Linked DNA regions of Schizosaccharomyces pombe. Each later gene encodes a partner of the first gene's protein in a complex. Each region holds a gene or a part of one and is shown on either strand. Other genes may lie near its edges. The genes, in order: mis18 and mis19.

Evidence for each region.
Region 2: mis18 (region 1) and mis19 share a complex: the UniProt entries of both Schizosaccharomyces pombe proteins name them as parts of the CENP-A recruiting complex.

Annotation. Positions count from the first base shown.
Region 1 is NC_003421.2:513,094-516,807, reverse strand, and holds mis18 (kinetochore protein Mis18), read left to right. Parts: upstream 1-2,000; 5' UTR 2,001-2,037; coding exon 2,038-2,191; exon of another isoform or gene 2,192-2,236; coding exon 2,237-2,297; exon of another isoform or gene 2,298-2,344; coding exon 2,345-2,431; exon of another isoform or gene 2,432-2,479; coding exon 2,480-2,515; exon of another isoform or gene 2,516-2,556; coding exon 2,557-2,641; exon of another isoform or gene 2,642-2,697; intron 2,698-2,715; coding exon 2,716-2,877; downstream 2,878-3,714. Other genes in the region: rad16 (DNA repair endonuclease XPF), read left to right, coding at 1-206, 256-604, 644-971, 1,014-1,139, 1,185-1,445, 1,486-1,902; dcw1 (mannan endo-1,6-alpha-mannosidase), read left to right, coding at 3,268-3,480, 3,527-3,714. UniProt on the Schizosaccharomyces pombe protein: Component of the CENP-A recruiting complex that ensures the integrity of mitotic spindles through maintenance of kinetochore factors mis6/CENP-I and cnp1/CENP-A. Maintains the deacetylated state of histones specifically in the central core of the centromeres.
Region 2 is NC_003423.3:1,322,162-1,325,211, reverse strand, and holds mis19 (protein Mis19), read right to left. Parts: upstream 1,482-3,050; coding exon 1,143-1,481; 3' UTR 838-1,142; downstream 1-837. Other genes in the region: C-5 sterol desaturase Erg32, read left to right, coding at 1-737; ERMES complex subunit Mmm1, read left to right, coding at 2,112-2,753, 2,917-3,050. UniProt on the Schizosaccharomyces pombe protein: Component of the CENP-A recruiting complex that ensures the integrity of mitotic spindles through maintenance of kinetochore factors mis6/CENP-I and cnp1/CENP-A.

The DNA.
Region 1 (3,714 bases):
CCCATCTAATGCACAACCTTCTCCTTGGCTTATGTTGGATGCCGCCAATAAAATGATCCGTGTCGCTAGAGACCGAGTATACAAAGAATCAGAAGGACCGAATATGGATGCGATTCCCATTTTGGAGGAACAGCCGAAATGGTCTGTCTTGCAAGACGTATTAAACGAAGTGTGTCATGAAACAATGTTAGCAGATACAGATGCAGGTATAAAAAAAACTCTCTTTAAAGGAAGAAATATTAACAAATCTTTCAGAAACATCCAATAATTCGATAATGATTATGTGCGCAGATGAGCGTACTTGTTTACAGTTACGTGATTATTTGAGTACGGTGACTTACGACAATAAAGACTCTTTGAAAAATATGAATAGCAAATTAGTGGACTATTTTCAATGGAGAGAACAATATAGAAAGATGAGTAAATCAATCAAGAAACCAGAGCCTTCCAAGGAGCGAGAGGCTTCTAATACAACGTCTAGAAAAGGTGTTCCACCTTCAAAGAGAAGAAGGGTAAGAGGTGGAAACAATGCCACTTCACGCACAACTTCTGATAATACAGATGCGAATGATTCTTTTAGTAGGGATTTACGCCTAGAGAAAATGTACGCTAATTATTAGGTTTTACACGCTAATAAGTCTAGTCTGCTCTCACACTTATCCAAACGTTATGAACCTGAAGTGGGCAATGATGCATTTGAAGTTATTGATGATTTCAATTCCATCTATATCTATTCCTACAATGGTGAAAGAGATGAGTTAGTATTAAATAATTTAAGACCTCGGTACGTTATTATGTTCGATTCTGATCCCAATTTTATTCGAAGAGTCGAGGTTTACAAAGCTACATATCCCAAAAGATCTCTAAGGGTTTATTTTATGTACTATGGAGGATCGATTGAGGAGCAAAAATATCTTTTTTCTGTAAGGAGAGAGAAAGATTCATTCTCTCGTCTTATTAAAGAACGATCTGTAAGTTATTCTAAACTTTTCAAAACTTGCTAATCTAAAAAGAATATGGCTATCGTACTGACGGCTGATTCCGAAAGGTTCGAAAGCCAAGAGTCAAAGTTTTTAAGAAATGTCAATACTCGTATAGCTGGAGGAGGACAGTTATCGATCACAAATGAGAAACCTAGGGTACGTTCATTATATCTTATGTTTATATGTATTAAAACGTTAAAGGTTATCGTTGACTTGAGGGAATTCCGTAGTTCGTTACCTTCCATATTACATGGAAATAATTTTTCTGTTATCCCTTGCCAACTCTTAGTGGGAGATTATATATTATCACCAAAGATCTGTGTTGAAAGGAAGTCAATTAGAGATTTGATCCAATCATTAAGCAATGGCCGTCTTTATTCCCAATGTGAAGCTATGACTGAATATTATGAAATTCCAGTTTTGTTAATTGAATTCGAACAACACCAATCTTTTACATCTCCAGTAAGTCTGACTAAAACAATCTATGTCTGACAGCTTTTAGCCTTTCTCCGACCTTTCAAGCGAAATTGGAAAAAATGATGTTCAATCTAAACTGGTACTGTTAACATTATCGTTTCCCAACTTAAGGATTGTTTGGTCTTCTAGTGCCTACGTTACATCAATTATTTTTCAAGATTTGAAAGCCATGGAACAAGAACCAGATCCTGCTTCAGCTGCCTCTATAGGTTTGGAAGCTGGGCAAGACTCAACGAATACTTATAATCAAGCTCCACTCGACCTGCTAATGGGACTCCCATACATAACTATGAAAAACTACAGAAATGTGTTTTATGGAGGCGTGAAAGATATTCAAGAAGCTTCCGAAACCTCAGAAAGAAAATGGTCAGAACTAATTGGCCCCGAAGCAGGAAGGCGTCTTTATTCCTTCTTCCGAAAACAGTTAAAGGACTATGAGTAATTTATTTTTTTATAATTTTGTAATATATTTAATTTTTGCTTCTACATCTGATATATATTGGTTCACCATATATAGAATGTTAAGCGCACCTAATTAATAACGACTACTACTAGATAAAATGAACTTTCCATAAGTATGTCCCAGACGGAAACTAGTCATTCGGGCTATATTGATTTTAAAAAAGAGTCACAACCTAGCGTCTTCCAATGTAAAAAATGTTTTCAAATAGTTGGTGATTCTAATGCTTGGGTTATTTCTCATCGAGAATATCTTAGTTTCACTTTGAGTGGTATGTGGTAAAAGAAATGTCCATGTAATTAATTATTTCATTTAGATGCAGTAGAAAATAGTGTACGCGTTGAGGATACGTTTAAAAGGAGTGATGATGGTCTTTGGTATGTTGCATGTGTTGCTCGCCAGTTTACTAATACAAAAATTATAGCGTCTATTCAGAGTTGAGTTGTACTAGATGCAATGAAGTGATTGGGAAGGTGTATAATTCTACACCTATATATCTTGATGATATTAGGTATGTCTAGTCGTACTTGGTTGACCAAATTTTAACAAAATCATGTAGAGATATGTATACTTTTTCAATGGACAAATTACAAGCGTAAGTTCATGATTTCATCTTAGTTACTAACCCCAGTGAAGCTACCAACTAGGTAATAAGACCGTAAATCCTGAAGGCCTTACACGGTATCAAGTTGATTTAGAAATGAGAGAGGACATTATAAAGGCATGTACAGTGATTCTTTATATAGTAGAGAAAAATAAACTTTAAGAAGAATAAATTACTAATTTTATTTGTAGTTGAAGTCCTTTTGTCTCTCTCTATATGAAAAGTTCGAACTTCACGATGAAACTTTACGCTCAGTTAAGGAGACAATATCCAGTTTAAAAAAACCGAAAATTGAGGGAAAGGAAGGTAAAAAAGAAAAGGCAAGAACATACTCTAAACGAACGAGGAAATAAGTCCACCGCTAGAAAGTACTGGGATACCATGTACAAACTGTTATATTCAAACAGTTAAAATTGCGGTTAAAACAAAAAGACACAATTTAAATAATACCTTTTTGATGTATTTTTTCTAAGGTTTTCCTTCTTGCTCATTGTGATATGCATGGGGCTGTCGGTCTCACGAATAAATGTGAGAGTATTTTCATTGAAAGGCTTAAGAATTTTATAGAAGATAGATTGCGTTAAGTTATATTTTTTCCCTACCTTTGGTCGTTCGTTGTTTACTGTTTAGATTATTTCTATCAGTCATTAATGAGTCATCATTGAATCATATGAAGGGCGACAGTCATCTGGATACATATGGGAATCTTCAAAGATACTACTCTATTTAATCCTTCTTTTTCAATGAGTCTTACAATCTTTATTTCACTTGCAACTATTTTGTTTTCCTTCGCTGAAGCCATTTCGGTGGATTTGAATGACACGTCCTCCGTTGACTTAGCCACTTCTTTAGTAGCTGATGGATTATTGAATTATTATGCTGGTCAGCACAAAGGAGGAACTATCGGGATGTTCCTTCCTCCAGCCTACTGGTGGGAAGCCGGGGCTGCTTGGAATGTACGTTGAGCTTAAAAGTATAATTTATTAACAACAATGGCTTTAGGGACTTTTAAATAGATACATTGCCACTGGTAATAGTACATATAACGAGTTGGTAAAGACCAGCATGTTGTACCAATCTGGAGAGGATTCAGATTATATGCCTTCGAATTATACAACATCTGAGGGAAATGACGATCAGGCATTTTGGGGTCTGACCGTTATATCTGCCGCTGAAGCAAACTTTTCAAA
Region 2 (3,050 bases), on another chromosome or scaffold:
TTGCATATTATGTGTACTTTGATCGAGAGGAGGCCAGAAGGCACCCTAAATTTTTAAAAAATCAGGAGCATCTGGAATTGATGGTTGCTTTAAAAAATCTACCCGGTATGGCTATTCTGACAGCTCCTTGGTTTCTTGCTGAAATTCGTGGATATGGTTATGTTTATGATAAGCTTGATGAATATGGTTACTTTTATCTTTTCTTTTCCATCGCGCTTTTCCTTCTATTTTCTGATTTTTTGATTTACTGGATTCACCGCGCTTTGCATCATCGTTGGCTTTACGCTCCTTTGCATAAGCTTCATCACAAATGGATTGTTCCAACTCCTTACTCTTCTCACGCTTTTCATTATCTTGATGGATACAGTCAATCCCTTCCATATCATATGTTTCCCTTTTTCTTTCCCTTAAATAAGTATGTTTACTTATTGCTTTTTGGATCAGTAAATTATTGGACCGTACTCATCCACGACGGCAAATACTTTTCTAACAACGCTGTCGTAAATGGTGCTGCTCATCACGCTGCTCACCATATGTACTTTAATTACAATTATGGTCAGTTTTTCACCTTGTTTGATCGTCTTTGCAGTTCATATCGTCAACCAGACCAAGAATTATTTGACGCCGAACTTCGCAATGAGAAATTGCAAGAGCAGCGCATTCGCTTTATGGAGACAGTTCAATACACCGTTGAGGGTAAAGATGATCGCACTTATGCCAGCAAGAAGGATAACTAATTCACTTTAAGATTTATTATTTGATACACTCCCCTCTCTTTTGTTTTATGTTCTAGCTTGTCTTTTGAGAGAGAAGCTGAAATAAAACCGCTTTTGATTTGATTTATATAGAATTATTATTTTTGGTATTTTTTCACCGTGTTGTTAAAGCTACTCATATCGATTTTTTTTGCTAAAATGGAAAATATTGCTGAATTATGACTTTAATTCATGTAAACGTGAATTTGGGTTGAAAAGAAGTTATGAACGCTTACAGTTTTGTTTTTGATAGAAAATTAACGCTTTAAAAATATGCGTAACATGTAGTGATTGAGTCTTTTCTGTAGTAAGTTGTGTATAAAGTTCAGTAAAGTTCACATTGGGTAAGTTACTAATGCATCAAAATTATCGTATAAAAGGTACTAATCACATTTTTACTGCTCTAACATTTCTTCTTAGAAATACTCGATTATGTAAATCAAGTTTTTTACCTTGTGCCCTGATTAAGCTTTTTGACCGAAGAGAATGAAGATTTATTGGATGATTATGGTTGTCTTTCACCCCAAATTCGCGAAATCGCAGTACAAGTAGCTCTGTTTCGTACACTCTTGGTTTCTGATTTTCCGTTGGTATAAATCTCCGTCTTTCCAGTCGTTTCAATATGGCGTCAAATTGCTGCAAATTGTCCGGAATTTTTGTATTATGAAACACATTATCAAATGCAATCTCAATTGCTCTTGCTTTTTCTAACGGCATTAAATCCATTTGCTTAACATTTTAATAAAATATCACAGACGGAGAAACTTTCGAAAATTAGGTAGTCCGTTAATATACGAAAGAAAGAATAACTAATTATTGTCGTTTATTAAAGATACTTTAACTAATACTCCTTTTGGAAGAGTAAAACGCGTACTAGTGTATTTCCTACCCTTGAGTATGAGCATGCCATACACATGTGAAGAGTACAAGAAAGTAATATTCTCTTATAATTTCATAATGTAATATATATTATCATAAAGGATTTATATATCTAAAGTCAATAATTTGATATAATTAGTTGCTTTTCTCAAACAAATCATGTTATTTAATGAATTTACTAATAATCTTTTTTAATTGAAGTCCATTAGTTTAATTAGTTGATTTCGGTTTTGGACTCAAACAAATAGGCTCAATGAACTCTGTAATTGCAAATGCTACGTAGACCACCTACAAGAAAGAAAAAAAAAAAATATATATATATATTACAGAAAGCCTCAACTTACTAAGCAGTTAACTCTTGTATTTGAGACGTTTAATTTATACTCTTCTTGTAGAGCGAAGACTAATTTTTCCGTTTACGGTTTTGATTCTCGGGATTAGCGAATTCGAGGTATTTTAGTATATTTATGAACAAAAATGATACACCTGCCGCAGGGGAGTTTTACACAAGGACTAATAGTTGGACAATTGTTGACACTGGCCATTATTTATGTGTTTTTGCGGTTCTTTTTATTTTGTAGTCCAATTCCAAAGTCTGTAGCAAACTCTCCAAAACAAACGGGGAATGAAACACCTGACGAGACTCCTTCAACTCCTTTAAGTAATAACAAAAAAAGGTACAAAAAGCCTCTTACTATCCTTGAACCTCATATACTCAATCTGCTTTACGATGTTAATGAACATGAGCCGGAATCATTGGATTGGTTTAATGTACTAATAGCACAAGCTCTCATACAGTTTCGCTATGATGCATGTTCCAACGATGTTGCCCTGAGAAAACTTGAAACTGTTCTCAACAAAGGTGCTCAAGACAAGTCTATGGTTGATCATATTTACGTGCGAGATTTATCGCTTGGAGACGGATTTCCGGTTTTCAGTCATTGTCGGGTTCTACCTCATCAGCATAATTCCTCACAGCTTCGAGCGGAGATGCTTGTTTCTCTGACTGACAATATTAATTGCACCGTTGACACAAAGCTTTTACTTAATTTTCCAAAGCCTGCGTTTGCAACCTTACCATTGTCCATTACAGTTAGGATTTGTAAATTTGTCGGAAAGGTAAGTCTATTTACAACCTTAATAGTATATAGTCTCTACGATTCTTTACACCCCTCCCCCGGGGGTTTGAAACATCAAGTGTTAAATCGTATCACAGTGGTATTCTACGATAGACTATTTTTTTTCGTCTTTTAATAACGGTCTTTTCTAACATTTGTCCTAGATTATGATTTATTTTTCCCCAAGCAATGGTGCAGGCCAGCCTGCATATATGAACTTGTCATTTGACCCCAATTTCGTGATCTCGCTACAAGTAAGTTCTCTTGTGGGAGCTAGGTCAAAGCTTCAAGACATTCC